4 linked regions of the Oryctolagus cuniculus genome follow. The protein of the gene in region 2 interacts with the protein of the main gene of each other region in a pairwise test. Links are inferred from orthologs where the notes say so. Each region holds a gene or a part of one and is shown on either strand. Other genes may lie near its edges. The genes, in order: TGOLN2, AP2M1, FXR2 and DVL2.

What was found.
Region 1: the proteins of AP2M1 (region 2) and TGOLN2 interact in a two-hybrid assay, tested with the Homo sapiens proteins (2 studies listed by BioGRID). The link is inferred for Oryctolagus cuniculus from reciprocal best matches to the Homo sapiens genes AP2M1 and TGOLN2.
Region 3: the proteins of AP2M1 (region 2) and FXR2 interact in binary tests that used the Homo sapiens proteins (3 or more experiments, as listed by UniProt). The link is inferred for Oryctolagus cuniculus from reciprocal best matches to the Homo sapiens genes AP2M1 and FXR2.
Region 4: the proteins of AP2M1 (region 2) and DVL2 interact in a two-hybrid assay, tested with the Homo sapiens proteins (2 studies listed by BioGRID and IntAct). The two-hybrid records come from large-scale screens. The link is inferred for Oryctolagus cuniculus from reciprocal best matches to the Homo sapiens genes AP2M1 and DVL2.

The regions. Positions count from the first base shown.
Region 1 is NC_091433.1:117,293,744-117,297,823, forward strand, and holds the start of TGOLN2 (trans-Golgi network integral membrane protein 2), read right to left. Parts: upstream 2,814-4,080; 5' UTR 2,699-2,813; coding exon 2,653-2,698; intron 2,423-2,652; coding exon 1,611-2,422; exon of another isoform or gene 1,412-1,610; intron 1,316-1,411; exon of another isoform or gene 1,132-1,315; intron 1-1,131. UniProt on the Homo sapiens protein: May be involved in regulating membrane traffic to and from trans-Golgi network.
Region 2 is NC_091435.1:93,753,790-93,757,962, reverse strand, and holds the start of AP2M1 (AP-2 complex subunit mu), read right to left. Parts: upstream 2,816-4,173; 5' UTR 2,590-2,815; intron 1,750-2,589; exon of another isoform or gene 1,674-1,749; intron 688-1,673; 5' UTR 645-687; coding exon 571-644; intron 1-570.
Region 3 is NC_091448.1:52,163,259-52,166,818, forward strand, and holds part of FXR2 (RNA-binding protein FXR2), read right to left. Parts: intron 3,457-3,560; coding exon 3,363-3,456; intron 2,648-3,362; coding exon 2,531-2,647; intron 1-2,530. UniProt on the Homo sapiens protein: mRNA-binding protein that acts as a regulator of mRNAs translation and/or stability, and which is required for adult hippocampal neurogenesis. Specifically binds to AU-rich elements (AREs) in the 3'-UTR of target mRNAs.
Region 4 is NC_091448.1:51,839,450-51,843,552, forward strand, and holds the start of DVL2 (segment polarity protein dishevelled homolog DVL-2), read right to left. Parts: upstream 2,851-4,103; 5' UTR 2,630-2,850; coding exon 2,436-2,629; intron 378-2,435; coding exon 308-377; intron 1-307. Other genes in the region: PHF23 (PHD finger protein 23), read right to left, coding at 3,869-4,083.

The sequences.
Region 1 (4,080 bases), on a different chromosome or scaffold from region 2:
TCCTTTGTAGTACTTTACAGGAAATGACAGATGGAGGAAGGATGTTCTGGGCTCTAGCTTGCGAAAGTCTGTATGATTTATTCAAGAGTACTCAGTCTGGGGCAGGTGTTCGGCCTGGCGGTTACCAGCTAGATGCCCTCATTCCCTACTGGAGTGTCTGGGTTTGAATCTGCGCTCTGCTCCTCATTCCAGCTTTCTGTTCAGGTGCACCCTGGGAGGCAGCAGGTGGCGGCTCAGGAAGTCAGGTCCCTGCTGCCCACACTGGAGAGCTGGACTGCGTTTTGGCTCCTGACATCAGCCTGGTCCAGCCCTGGCCACCGAGAGCATTTGGGGAGTGAACTAGTCCACAGAAGCACTCGCTGCCTGTCTCTCTCTCTCAAAAAAAAAAAAAAAAAAAAAAAAAAAGTACTCAAAGATCTGCCAACTCTTCCTCAGAGAGCTCTAGGATGGCACGTTCCTTTTTTTAAAATCATAATCAAAAAGTACTTCCTATCCACAAAGTACTCTTTTGGCCCCCCCCTTTGCATCATCAGCTACATTATCACTGTCATTTCACTGCTGAGGTTACTCTCCATGATAAACCACTTGGATGTCCTCATTCTTTAAAAAAAAATTTATGTATTTTTTTTTTTTTTTTTGAGAGACAAACAGAAAGAGATCTTCCTGCTGCTGTTCACTTCCTAAATGCCCACAACAGCGAGAACTGGGCAGGCTGAAGCCAGGATCCCAGAACTCACTCCAGGGCTCCCACCTGGGTGGCAGGGACCCAAGTCCTCAAGCCGCCATCTGCTGCCTCCCAGGGTGCACAACAGCGGGAAGCTGGAATTATAAGCAGAGGCACCCCAACATGGGATGTGGGTACCCCAAGTGATATCGTATCCTAACTGCCCTGCCAAAAGTTCGCCCCATTTCCTCATTCTTTATAGCTGAAGATCTTATGGCCACAATTAATTGAACTCTCCCATTCTAACCAGAGTACTGAAGCTATCTTCAAAATTCTTAGGACTTAATAGGAAATGCACTAATTTTGTCATTAGGGTTGGTTGCTACGGGACACACCATTATTACTTCATACCAAATGCTGACAAAGTAAAAGATGTATGGATCTGTGCAATTTCTGGGTTTTCTTCTAGTTATGACTGTTCAAGAGGTTCCCTGGGCTTCTTGCTGTTGGTATAGGAGACTATGTCACTGAAATCATTCCTTCTGCCACCGCAGATGGAAGACAGGAGGTTGGGGGAGGAAGTCAGAAGTGCTGCACTGGCTCCAGAGTGGAGACGCGGGCAGAGGAGAGTTTTTCCTGCCAGCTCCCCAGGTACTCGGAGGCTGTGAAGGACCACGTCCAGGTTCTGGGAGGCAATCCCATTTCAGGGTGTGTCATAACACTGTCCTAACGTATAACCTAATGCAGGAGCAGAGGACACTGGGAACAGGAAGAGACGCATAATTTACGAAACCAGAGTAAAGAGCCCTTGCAGAGTCTTCAGGAAACACAGACATTTGTCTTAAAACCCCGGTGCTCTCCGGCGGCAGATGGGCGCCCAAGCTTGCGTTTGGGGGAGGGAGGACTGCGGAGTGGGGACAGGGCCCTCGGGCAGCTCCTCACTCACCTTGCGCTTGTTGTGATAGGCAATGTAGAGGACAGCCACGAGAACGGCCGCGGTCACCAGATAGGCAAAGAAGTGGCTGCTCTCTGCGCGGGAACTTCCAGGGCTGTCCTTGAAAAGCTCATCCTTCTCCCTGCTCATGGGATCCAGAAGCAGACCCTCGCGGGTCTCCCCGGAGGCAGGCCCCGGCATCTTCTCTTTCTCTTCCTCCAGGGGTGAGTCCTCTTCAGGAAACGCCTCACCTTCTCCAGCCTCCTTGGGCTCCGCACCTTCAGCAGGCTCTAAAGGCTTGTCCTCCCCCTCCTGCTGGGAAGAAGGGAGCTCAGAGTCCACTATCAAGTCCTCCGTGGACTCAGCTCTGGAAGCAGGCTGCGAGGTCCCTGCTTTGTCAGCCTGGCCGCTTATGCTGCTCTCGGGCTGAGTGTTACCAGGGCTGGGGTTGGAGACTGCCTTGCTGGACTGGTATTTCTCTGCCGTGGTCTTCGGCAGAGCAGGAGGCGTAGAAGCGCTGATTTTCTGGGGCTGCTCCGTAGTCGAAGTGCCAGTGTTTGCGCTTGTCCCCTGCTGCTCCTGGGATGAGTTGCCAGTGTTTGCGCTCGCGTTCGGCGACTCGGTATTTGAGTTGCTAGAGTTTGCGCTAACCTTCAGCTGCCCTATTTGTGAGCTGTTAGAGCCTGCGTTATTGGAAGACGGGTTCAAAGCGAGTACCTTTTCCGTACTATTTATCTCTGGCTCCATGTTCGAAGAGGAGGCTCCAGAGGCCGTAAGGGTAGTGTTTACGTTCTGATTGTCTGCCGAACTGGCATCGTCAGCTACTGAAATGGGAGAAACCAGGCCATTAGGCTTTCAGAGCGCAGATCGGGAAAAGCGGACTCCTCGGAGCAGGAAAGGATCAGGCGCAAAGGGGCGAAAGGGGGCAGGGGGGCGGCGGCGAGCGGAAGGGTAGGGGGAGCAGGAAAGAGGCGAGCCCAGACAGCGGCTGGCCGAGCTGAGGGTGGTGGGCTGGGGGGCGAAAGTGGAGTGGGCGGACAGAAGGGGGTCTTACCCGCCACTGCGACACTCAGCGCGACCAACACAACTAGGAACCGCATCCTGCACAGACTGTGCTTCCGCTCTCTACCAGTCTCGCGAGAGTCGCGCGCGGGACTCCAAACTCGTAGCCACGCCCCTTCCTGCGCGCGCCTCCGTGCCTCCGCCAGGTCTCCCCATTCGGGGGCGGGTCCTGGGGCTCAGCCTTCGGAGAGGTTGGAAGGTTATTTTTTTTTCCTTTTTTTGGCAGTGGCGGTGACTTAGACCCCAGTGGCGGGAGAATCTACCTCTTCCTGGTTTCCAGTCCCCATAGCAGCCATAACAGGCCATCCATTTTTGCTTCTCGCCCTTCGCACCAAGCGGGAGCTTTCTCGCCTCCCGTGGGTCGCTGGGCCCGGCAGCTCCTCGCCCCATCGTTTGCTCGCGTTTCTCGCCCCTCGCTTTCTTGTTCTTTCCCATCTAGAAACAAGTCCAGCCCATCGCCTTCGTCTGAGGTTGCCCAAGATCCTTTCCAAACAAGTGTTCTTGTTCTCATCAGAGTTCTAGAAGGAGAAAATAGAACCTTAGTTCCATCCTTCCGGCATAATCTGCAAATGTTTTAGAGTATGTGTTTGCCTTGCAAATATTTAATGTTTTTAATTAAGTAACACTAGTACATTCTTTGTTAATTAAAACTATTATTTGACCAGCTCTCTGCTATGGCCTGGGAAAGCAGTGGAAGATGGCCCAAGTCGTTGGGCCCCGGCACCCACGTGGGAGACACAGAGGAAGCTCCTGGCTCCTGGCTTCGGATTGAGGCAGCTCCGGCCGTTGCAGCCATCTGGGGAGTGAACCATCCATGGGAGATCTTTCTCTCTCTGCCTCCGCCTATCTATAACTCTGCCTTTCAAATAAATAAGTAAATTTAAAACAAACAAAACATGTGAGAGTGTGTATACAGACACACAAATTCCCAAGAATTGCCAGAAAGAAAAGTACGGAAACCATTAACTTAGTTGAGGAAGGACCCTTAAACCGAGGACCAGAGTTTATAGGTGTGTCTCAGATGAGGTTGAAGGGAAGATGAGCTTAGCTGCCCGTAGGCGGGATCCTGGCATTTTGTGCAAATGTAAAGACCAGGATTGTTGGATCACAACAAGGACAGTGGCAGGGAATGAGGCTGGCGCAGAGCCAGATTAAGAAGTTGAGTGATCTGGGAGTTGTCCAGAACATACATCTTTATTGGACACACAAGTACAACGGAAAATATGCCAGTTAACTCTGGTTGAACTGTAAACTGGTGCCACTCCTGCCCAAAAGGGCGACAGCTGCTAGGGCAACCATTCTCTTCATTTGTATTTGTTTATGGGACACGCAGTCCTAGTCAGTCAAAACTCTTAAGAATTTTAAGAATACTACACGGCACAAATATGATTTTCAGGCACAAGTGCTTTATTATTTAAAA
Region 2 (4,173 bases):
CCCTTATGGACCAGAAAGGACAGCATGGCCTCCCTGCCCTTCCCGCAATGGCCTGGAAGTGCCTCAAGTTTGCTCACAACCTCTCTTCCAGAGGAACCGAAAGCAGCTGAATCAGCAGCCTGACACCTCCTAAGAAAGGGAGTGGGAGAGGAGTCGGCAGCCTAGAGAGGCTTTCAAGAGAATCCAGTGCAGGCGCTCAGCATGAGAGCTTTTGAGAGCAAGACGCAGAAGGATTAGTACCTGCAGCCTGGTCACTAACTCCACTTCCCTAAGGGAGGAATCTGCCTGCCTGGGAGACGGCACTCATCTCCTACAACCAGGCTCGTAACCAGGGGAAATGGGAGGAGGAAGGGCTACGGGAGCCACGCCACTGCTCAGGTCCCACTTAGTGGCCGGCAAGCTGGATGTCAGACCTGCTGGGACCCGGGCTATAGCAGCTGAGCTTCCAGGATGCAGTGAGGGGACAGAGTGGCCCAAGTCAAGCCTCTGGATGGCACACACCTGGTCCTGCATGCTGGGGCTGGAGGGCTGCGGTGGCAGGGGCACAGCTGGCTCAGCCAGGGCACTCACCCGATGTCATCTCGGTAGACCCGGGAGATGAGCACCTCCCCCTTGTGATTATAGATGAATAAGCCTCCGATCATGGCGGCAGCTCAGTCTCGGCGGCCCATCGCTCTGAGAACAGACCTAGGACAGGCAGGGGTGGGGCGAGGGAAGACCTCAGGAGCCTGGCCAACAGCCCCTGTGGGGCTGCACAGATCACTGGCTTGCTTTTTTTCCTGACTCAACCCTCTAGCAAGTGACCCTGTGGCCCTCCCAGGCACGCCCCTCCCCTCAGCAAGGCTCCAGTTCCTGTTTATTCCACTGTAGATGGGGGAAAACCAGGAGAGACTAGGGCCCAGGAGTCTAAGGCCATTGACCCTCCCTTTTCTGGGGCTGAGCCAGAGTAGCTCCCACCTCCCCCTCCACAGCGCTGAGCTCAGCAAGGGTCCTTTCCAACCCCCTCTAGTACAGACTCTCACTGGGGCTAATGCCAGTGAGTCACTGAGAAGGCCCGCCTGCGGCTGCAGGAATGACTGGCTGGCGGTAGCAATCACTCCAGCTGGTTCCGGCCTGAGGCACCCTCTCTCAGGCTCCTTCCAGCCTTCGGGAAGGCAGCAGGGGCTGAATCCTCAGAAGCCTAAACATTCCAGGAAAGGCTGTGCAGGGTGGGGGTGGGAGGAGAGAAAGAAGGCCTCAGGCCCTGACAAGGACCTGGGAGTGTGGCTCCAACTTCTCCCAGGCAATCAGATAAGCAGGCAAAGAACAGAGGAGAAAGGTGCTGGCAGACTACCGCCAATGACCCAAGCTATTATTTCTGACACCCCCTCTTTCAAAAGGCCCCAGAGTGCAATAAAAATAAGGACTGGGCAGGTGGAATGGGTTCCTAGATCCTTCCAGCTGGAACTGTGATTCCAGATGCACCAAGTAGCTCCCTTCTGGCCAGAGCACCTACAAGCAAGAGGCAAGCATGTCGGAATGCCCGAATTATCCAAACTATGTAGGTCAAACTAATAGAGACTGTTGGAGAAAAGGGGTTAATTTGGTTCTAGATTTCCTGGATCAGCCCTGGTATTAATTTCACAGGGAGTCGGTCAGCAGAATTTAATAAACGGGAAAATAAAGCCTTTTACTGTGAGATCAAGGTCTCCCAGGCCAGTGAGTTGTCTCCAAAGGTGCCGACAACGCCATCCCTCAGGCCGGTTGAGGCTAGGGAAAGAAATGCAAAATGGAGGTAGAGCCCTGGGCATAGACCAAGGCCATAGGTATCAAGTTGTAGGTAGCTCAGGGCGCCACAGAACCAGAGGTGGGGCCCTGGACTCCACGGCACATTTCACTGAAGGAAAAGACTGGTGGCAGCAGCCAGCGGCTACTCAGGTGAACCTGCAGCAGCCCCGGTGGGGGCATCTAAAAGAGAGCGTTTCCAGCACGGAAAAGGTCAGGGTGACGGCGTGGGGGAGGGAGAGCCGGGAGGGAAGAGTGACAGCGGTGAAGAGGGAAAGCTGGGGGAGACGGAGCCTGCTTTGGGGTTCATGTGCAGAGGCCTGAAGGAGTGGTGGGGCTTTTCGCCCCAAGGAAGCGACATCGCGGGAAGACATGGTGCCACCGAGTTGTCACTGAGCTGAGTGGACGGGGTGCTGCCCAGTGTGAGACCTGTCACAGTCCAAGGAGAAGACACAGGGGTCCGTGCCCCGGGAGACGGGGCAGCTGTCCCTACGCCGAGGCGGCGGCGCCGAAAGCTTCGGGGGGTTGTCACGATCCCAGCGAGGAGGCCCGCGCGGCGGCCCTGCTGCGGGGGGATTCCAGGGAGTCTCCCCCATCACGAGAGGCGCCCGGCGGTTCAGGTGGAGGGCGCCGCTCCCCGCCCTTCCTGCAACCGCGTCCCGGGCGCCCCCGCCCCGCCGTCAGCTCCCTCCCGGGTCTGAAGGCTGAGGCCACTCCCGGGTGTGGGCAGCTTTCTACCCCGCGCAGGGAAGGGCAACGCTGGGAGGCGGGGTGGGCGACCCACGGCATCGTCCCCCACCCCGAAATGCCAAGTCCCCCGCTCACCTGGCGTCCGCGGCCCGAGGGCTCGGCCGGCCCGGCCACTCTTCGGATCCCAAGATGTCCGCCCGCCCCCTGCTCGCCTGCCCGCTGCCTCGGCTTTCACCGCAGTGCCGCGGCCCCGCCCCGGCCTCGGCTGCGCGTGCGCGCTCTCCTCCGCCTCTTGCGTAGACTACAAATCCCGTCAGGCTCCTCACCGGCGATTTTAAACGCCGACAGGTTTCGAAAGACTACAACTACCGATTGCCTTTGAGACCGCCCCCCGTCTTGGGGCGGGTGTGTATGGCCGAGGGGTGGGGGGATGGAGGGGTGGGGTTGGGAAGCGTGGCCTTAGCCTTCCCAACAAATCCCGGCACGTGCGGCTCCACCCACTTCATTTCCTCACTGAGCATTCTGGGGATTGTAGTCTTTGTTGTCCCCCGGTCCTATTTCAGTGTTTTGAAGCATCTCAGAGGATTAGTTTGTCGGGTCCCATCTGCTAAGCCAGAGGTTGCTGCAGGACATTCTCTGTCTCCAGAGTCCGAGGACTGGCTGTTCTTACTCTGTGCACAAACATGCAACATGGCAGAACTGTTTGTGCTGAATTTATTGTTTTCTAACACCACCTCTGATTCCCCCAAGCTTTTATATATCTGTTCCAGACATGAGCCTCATTCTCTGGGGATCAGAAGGGCAGGAGGTGGGAGGCAAACTTGAAAGCTATTAGCTAAAGCTTTTCATGAGGGTGCCAGCGTTCTGTGTGTGCACCTTCTAGTGACAAGCATACATTTCCTAGAAAATGTTGGCAAGTTGAACTTAGTTGGCCAAAGGATGCAGAATTCATCTTCACATCTAAGGTGAAAGGAAGAAACAGAGCCAGCCTTCAAATATGAAAAGGCCTGCCTGGTGCTTAAAGGACTGTAAGAAACAGTTCTTCTCTCTCTGTAGACAGATACTCTGATGACTTCCTTGGGAGGACTCAGCTTGTCATGGGAAGGAGGGGCAAGGAGGGGCAAACCTGGTTGTAAACCTTACTGTCTCTAGCAGTCTCTTGCCAGACGACAGTATGTAGTAGGCTGAAGATCTGACCTCCCTCACAGCCTGAAGGCATTTAATCCTTCATGCCTGCCTTTGTAAAAGCTTTATCTTCCAAACACATCCTAAACTCCTACCAACTTAAGAGTAAATAATAATGGTAAATGATAATAATAATAATAGCTACCATTTATTGAGCACCTACTCTATTCTGTGCCATGCACTGTGCTAGGCACTTTTCGTACAATATCTAATTTAAATCCTCACAACAACCCTGTGAGGTAGGTATTATTATCATTTTACATATGAGGGAACTGAGGCTCAGAGAGGTTAAATAACTCTCCTATCACGCAATCAAAAAGTAGTAGAGCTGGAATTCAGACTCAGAACAACCAGAGTCCAAACCCCATGCTCCGGTGAATTAAAGTAGAGGAAGAGGGGAGAGAAAGGGCCAAATTCCAGAGACTGTTGGGTGCAATGGATATGGTACGATGACTAGTAAGATATGGGAAGGGATTTAAGCCTATAAATGTTCCTAGCTGGTGAGTCTATGTAGGTCACAATGAAGGTAATCAG
Region 3 (3,560 bases), on a different chromosome or scaffold from region 2:
TTCTTGGGCCCCTGTACCTGCCTGGCTTCAGCCTGGTCCAGCCCTGACCCTTGCAGCCATGTGGGTAGTGAACCAGTGCACCGCAGACCCCCGCCTCCTCCTACAACTCTGCCTTTCAAATAGATAAAATAAATCTTTAAAAAAAAAGTTTGATCAAATTATTATGTCTAAGAAGTGGGCCTTGGGGCTGGCGCTGTGGTGCAGCAGGTTAAAGCCCCTGCCTGCAGTGCCAGCATCCTATATGGGCGCCAGTTCAAGTCCTGGCTGCTCCACTTCCGGTCCAGCTCTCTGCCATGGCCTGGGAAAGCAGAAGATGGTCCAAGTCCTTGGGTTCCTCCCTGCACCTGCATGGGACACCCAGAAGAAGCTCCCGGCTCCTGGCTTTGGATCGGTGTAGCTCCCCATATTGTGGCCAACTGAGGAGTGAACCAGTGGATGGAAGACCTCTCTCTGCCTCTCCCTCTCTCTCTGTGTAACACTTTTTCAAATAAATAAATAAATCTTTAAAATGCCTCTCAGTGTTGTTTTTTTTGTTTTTTTTTTTTGTTTTTTTTTTGTTTTTTTGACAGGCAGAATTAAGACAGTGAGAGAGAGACAGAGAGAAAGGTCTTCCTTCCATTGGTTCAGTTCCCTAATGGCCGCTACGGCTGGCACTGCGCTGATCCGAAGCCAGGAGCCAGGTGCTTCCTCCTGGTCTCCCATGCGGGTGCAGGGCCCAAAGACTTGGGCCATCCTCTGCTGCCTTCCCAGGCCACAGCAGAGAGCTGGCCTGGAAGAGGGGCAACCGGGACTAGAACCCGGGGTGCCGGCGCCACAGGTGGAGGATTAGCCTAGTGAGCCGTGGCACCGGCCCTCTCGGTGTTCTTACACTGACGAAATGGTTCTCTAATACCACCATGATCCAGAATTTGCACAGGCTCAGAGACGAGCCCCCCCCAAATGACCAGTTCACTTGATAAATGGATGCATGTTCAAGACACACAAAACCTCGTACTCGCCTGGAATGGTGTAATACCTAGGAAATGGAATCTGATAGTAACAGTGTATCAGGACTCGAAAATTTGAAGAAATATTCTAGTCTAACTACCTCTTTGTCATGATGAAAACTCCAGCCAAGGGGCCAGCACTGTGCTGTACGGAGTCCAAGCTCTTCCACTTCCAATTCAGCTCCCTGCTAATGTATCTGGGAAAGCAGTGGAAGACTGCCCAGGTACTTGGGCCACGGCTACCCATATGAGAGACCTGGATGGAGTTCCAGGCTCTTGGCTTCAGCCTAGCCTAGCCTAGCCTAGCCCAGCCCAGCCACAGCCTTTGCAGCCATTTGGGGAGTGAACGAACAGATGGAAAAGATCTCCCTGCCCACCCCAAAACTCTGCCTTTCAAATAAGTAAATCTTAAAGAGAAAGCCCAGTGAAATCAAATGATTTGCCAAATGGACAATTACATGACAAAGCAAGGCAGGAGGCCAAGCCCAGTGGTATTAAGCAGAGTATAAACACTTCTCATACATATTCCACAGAGTAGTTTGGTTTCCAGAGGTGATACAAGGGCATCAGTGACAGTAAGAGCCATGCCCCTTTCCACTTTTAGACAGAGCTGCTCTGGTTAATCTGTTTATGCATTGTGCCTTCAAGTAAAATCTCACTTGGCGGAAGGAGCCTGTGGCTGAAGTGTGAAGATGAGTGCGCCGGGGCCAGCACCACGGCACAGAGTGAAGCCACAGCCCGTGACGCCAGCATCCCATACGGGCGCCAGTTCAGGTCCAGGCTGCTCCACTTCCCATCCAGCTCCCTGCTGATCTGCTTTGAAGATGGCCCAAGTACTTGGGCCCCTGCATCCACATGGGAGACCCAGAAGCAGCAGCTCCTGGGCCCTGGCTTTAGCCTGTCCCAGCTCTGGCCATTGCAGCCACTTAGGGAGTTAACTGGCAGATGGAGATATCTCTCCTCTCCATCTCTACCTCTGTCCCTCAAATTATAACAAAAATAAATGAATATAAAAAGATTATACCATAACATGATACAACTCTGTCATCTAGAGGAATTTGAAACAAAACAGTCAATCCAGGTTTAACAGCCAAGTGAAACCTGTTTTTGGGGAGCAAGCGCTGTGGCGTAGCAGGTAAAGCTGCCACTTGCAGTGCCAGCATCCCATATGGGCACCGGTTCTAGTCCCAGCTGCTCCACTTCCCATCCAGTCTCTGCTATGGCCTAGGAAAGCAGTAGAAGTGGCCCAAGTGCTTGGGTCCCTCCCTGCACCTGCCTGGCAGACCTGGAAGAAGCTCCTAGCTCCTGGCTTCAGAATGGCACAGCTCTGGCCATTGTAGCCATTTGGGGAGTGAACCAGCAGAAAGAAGACCTCTCCCCTCTCTGTCACTCTGCCTTTCAAATAAATACATAAATCTTAAAAAAAAAAAAAAAAAAAAAAAACCGGGGGGGGGGGCCTTAGTGCTCTATAAATAAAGAGCATGGGTGGACAGTGGGACAAGGAGGAACACCCTTTGGCAGGAGGGAGAGGAGCCACAAATTACCTCTAGGTGCTTGGTAGCTTCTTCATTGCGGGACATGAGTAGTAGTTTGGTGCGCAGGCTTCGAAAATGCATATCACCCAGCAGAGACGCCCGCTTCACAGGGGCTTCCGTGGTTGACTGGAAGCAAACCAATGGAAAGTCATGAAAATTGACTTGAATACATACCTGGGGAGAGCCGGGGACTGGGAATCAGGATGCCTGCATCCCTACAGTTGGGATCAGTGTTGTGGTGCAGCAGGTCGGACTGCCACGTGCCGTGCTAGCATACTAAGTACACTGCTTCTCCTGCCCCTGGCTTTGGCCTGGCCCAGCCCCAGCTGTCACAGACGTCTGGGGAGTGAATCAGTAGATGGAGAATCTTTCTCTGTCTTGCTCTCTATGTAACTCTTTCAGTTAAATAAATAAATCTAAAAAATAATCAATGACGCTGAAGTGCCTAGCATTGTGGTACAGTGCTTGCAATGCTGGCATCCCAAATCAGAGCACCAGTTTGAATCTTGGCTACTCCACTGCTGATCTAGCTCCTTGCTAATGTACCTGGGGAAGCAGCAGCGGATGGCCCAAATGCTTGGGAACCCTGGCACCAGAGAACCAAATGGAGTTTCAGGCTCCTGGCTTTGGGGAGTGAACTAGCAGATGGGAGTTCAATCTCTGCCTTTCAAATAAATACATTTAATTAATTAATTAATTAAGTAAATAAAGAAGGAAGGAAGGAACTCTAACAGATAAATGTAAGCATATTTCAGTTCCTCCCTTTGTGCAAAGAGGTTAAAAGGGGAAAAGGAAAAACTATTGGAAGGGCTTATGGGAAATTCAGGCAGAATAAACTCACCAGAATGAAGAGCTCACTGTTTGTGATGTTGAGAAAGATGCAGTTGGCTCCAAGCGCTTTCTTGAACTCTTTATGGACGTTTTCGTTAGAGCAGCTACAGGAAAGAGGAAGGCACTCAGAAGGCAGAGCACAGAATGCACTGAACAGTTCAGGTGAGAAAATGAGAGGGACCACAGTTAAAGCACAGAATAGGGAAGA
Region 4 (4,103 bases), on a different chromosome or scaffold from region 2:
CTGTCTCTCTCTCTCACTGCCCACTCTGTCAAAAAAAAAAAAAAAAAAAAGTAATAATAACTTTATTTTGACGCATGCCCACGCACCCTGTTTTGAAGCCCACGCATCCTTTTCTCATACTATGCATTTCCCATGAACGTTTTTGAAGCCCCCTCATGGCAGAGGCTCCAGAAGAAAGCCGAGGAGCTCCCACTGGCTCTCCAAACAGGGAGGGAGGCAAAGGGCCAGGGCAATGACTGGGCAGGGAGAGGCTACAGACAGATGAGGCTGGGAGCAGCCTGGGAACCCAGAGGGAATGGGCCCTTACCCAGGATACCACCCTTCCGTTGAAGCAGGGCAGGCGGGCATTGTCATCTGAAATTTCTTCCTTCACCACCCTGCCGGGAGACAGGACGAGGTCAGCGAGGCTGGGTCAGCCACCCCCGCCGCCAGCTTCTCCGTCTTCACCCAGCTCAAGGATGCCGGCCACCCCCTGCCTCGTTCCCCCTCTCTCCTAGGGAAACAACCTCCAAACCCCACTCCCACCACGTTTCGCCTGCTCGCCCCAGCTGGCCCTCAGGGGCAATGCTGCTCCAAAGACTTCCTGCAGCATGACTGGAAGGCCAACCCCTGTGGTTACCTGGTTGCCAGTGAGCCTTGCTGGTAGCCGTCCCCAAACCCAGCCCTGTTCCGTACACACCTTCCCCAACCTCATACAAGCTTCTACTCTCCCACTTCCCTTTAGTTTTTTCTAATCCACTTCCAGAGAGTGGTCCAGATGTGCTGTCTTTGTCAGGGGACAAAAGCCCATTAGAGGAACCAACAGCATCTCCTTAGGCTGAGAGCTGGGAAGAAGAGAGGAAGCCAGGCTTCCCGTTCCCCTGTGCCTCCCCTGGAAGAACTCTGCTCTCAACAACATGCTGGGTCTCAAGACCCCAAAGCCCCACCAGCTCCCCTGTGTTCCCTGTAGTGGACTGGACTTGCCCCCCTTTCTTCTCAACCACCCCTTGCAATCAGCAGCACCCATTCTGTTGTACACCACGCCCTGACCACGCAGCATTAACACTTGTTGACTAAACAAACAAAACACACAAACCAATAGATTCTCTGGTTTCTCCTCTGTCTCACAAACACACCCTCTCCCCTCCCCAAATCAGAACATCTTGTCTGATTAACCCTTTAGCCTAATATGCCTCTGGGAGTGTGTATATACACCAACTGAATCCATTTGCTAGTTATGTGACAACAGGGCCCAGCCACTACCAATCTGTTTCAGTGTAATTAGTGTTCTCCCAATATAACCCATCTTGGCACAGCTCAACCCACTCCACGGCAGGCTATTCTGTATCACCACAACCGAGTTTGTGGACCTGTGGGCCTCAATGCCAAGGACAACGATGACCACGCCCCAAGAGTTTCCCATGTGCCAAGCGCGGGAACTAAGCATTTCACTCTGTGATTATCTCAAATGTGAGAAAAATCAACGCACAAAGGTAAATGAAATTGCCCAAGATTACACTGCTGACCAATCCAAGAGCTTTGATTTAAGCCCAAGATAACTCCCAAGACAACTGTCACTCTCCCCACGCTGAACGACCTTTTTAGGCAGAGTCCAGTTTGTTCCGTCCCCCTAAAATCCAAGCCATCAACACAATCTAGCCAGCCAGTGAAACAACTGAGCAGTCAAAACAAGAGTGGTCATTCCCCAAAGTGAGAAAAACAAAAGGGCTTCGAATATGTTATTTACAGTCCCAGTCAAGTCCAGGAATCCCCAAATTACCCCAGGATAGCCCAATCTATTCTAGCACAGCCTACAACGTCCCTGCATGCAGCTGTCTGCACCAATATAGACTAGACTATCCCAATACAGCTGTCTGTATTAGCAAAAGCCCCAACAGCCTTATCTGCCCTGTACTAAGTGCCCCGATGCGTGCCGAAGAAGAGTTATTAGGTTAGGATCAACCAAGAGACCAGAATGACCCCAGCCCGTCCAGTAGCCCACTCCAAGGCAGCCTAGAACACCGCAACTTTTTTTTTTTTTTTTTTTTTGCATTAGCATGCATACACTCCATGGAGTCCCCAAACAATCCTGTCTCTGCCACAACGTTCCAACTGCCGCCAACACAAGCCCGGCTATGTCAAGAGACTGCAGGCTGTCTCCACACAAGCTGTGTGCTACAGGAAAACGCTCAGTCCCGACCACCCCAAAACCAACCTGCGCGCCCCCACCTATTCCATATGGCCCAATCTTCTCCACTTTATCGCTCCGTGTGCATCCATCTGTCCAGGCATAACCTTGTCCGTCCTGGGACGGCCACTCTGCCTCAGTGTGGCACAATCCGATCCACTGAAGGCCAGAAAACCCGTGTAACCCAGAGCAGACCCGTGCCCCCTGCAGAACGCCCCATCCGTGCGGGTACAGCCCCCGTCAGTCCCAGGCTAGGCCTCGCGCTCACCCGAAATCCTGATCCATGGACTTGAAAAAGTACTTAGCACCCGCGGGCCGCTGCAGAACGCTCTTGAAGTCTCCAAGGGTGATGCGCTCGGCGGGGACTGGGATCTTCACCAGGTAGGGAGTCTCCTCCTCATCCAGGTGGTAAATCACCTTCGTCTCCCCGACGCCTCCGCCCCCCGTGCTGCTGCCCGCCATGGTCTCGCCCGCGCGCTCCCGGGCTCCGCCGCCCACCCAGTGGGGCTATCTGCGGCCCGCCGCGCCTGCGCACACTCGAACCCCGACCGGAGCGCGGACGCGACAGAGCCAGTGTGGGCGTGGGGCAGCGGGGAGGCGGCGGGGTGCGGCAGGGTGGCGGGCCGCGCGACGCGCCCCGGAGCGGCGCACTCAGCCGCCGCGCGCCACCGCCGCCGACGTCGCGAGCGCCCTCCAGGGCCCCGCCCACCTCGCCTCATGTCACGTGGCCCGAGCCCGCCCACCTCGCGCTCCCTGCACCGCCCTTCGCCACGTGACCCCTCCGCCATCACGTGACTACTCGGCTCCTCCCAGCGCTCCCTCCACGTGACCGCTGCCTTCAGCAACGGTCTCCCAGCCCCGACCCACTCCGCCCCCGAGCGTATCCCCCACCGGAGGTCCTCCCGGCTGGCACCGTGTCCTGGGGACCTCCGTCTTCGGGGTGGGGGGCGCCCTGCGCCGTCCGGGCGGGAACGCGAAGCGACTGCGCACGACCGTCCGTGCAGGAGCAGCGGGACCGCGGGCGCGCGTGGAGGGAAGAAGCCGACGGAGCCCCTGGGGTTGTGTCCCGGCGCGGGAAGGCCCGGACGCCGAGGTGGGTTTGTGCCCTGCGGCCAGCTCCCCCAGAGCCTCCCCCCAAGCAGGACAGTCAGGGAGGGCTAGAAACACAAAGAGCCCACTCTGCTTTATTTACAACACGCAGGCTGTCTGTACAAACGGCTGGCCAGTAGTAAAAACAAGAGGTGCGTGAGGACCGTCACCTTGCCGCTCTCCTTGCTCGCTTGGCCAGGCTCACTCCACCTCTGAGCCGCCACGCTCGAAAGAGGAAGTCCAACATTAAAAATACAACCGGTGTAGAAGAAAATAAATTGGGAGTAAAATAAAAGATGAGGGAGGGGAATGCTATATTTACACTAGAGTTTATAGACAGCTGTCCCAGTCCATCCCAATTCCAACCCTGGCAGGTCCAAGATGCTGCATCCGGGGCCCCCGACAGCCTCCCACGCCCAACGCAACGTCCACTCCAGTCCACAGGCTGGGGAGGGAGGGGAGGGAGGGACCGTGAGACTCATTTCCGAAGTCTGCCTTGGGCGTTCCTGCCTTGAAGCGGGGACCACATCCAGACTCCAGGGGATGGGCTGAAGCCCCCGAGGCTCAGTTCCCGAATCGTCACTTGCCAGTTCCAGCCTGGAGTTGGCAGTGTCAGGGCTCTCCAGATTTGGGAAGCCCCCCTAACCGCCGCGCCTCAGGCCGCAGTTCCTTGCATTTCTGGCAATAAAAGAAGTCAGGGACATTGGTCTTCTTAATCTTAGCACAGGAGAGGTGGATCCACGTCCCACATAGGCTGCACTCGATCATGGGCCGCCCTGCGAAGGGCTTCCGGCAGTAACACGTGATCAGGTCCCATGAGTCATCACCTGGGGAAAGAAGGTTTGCT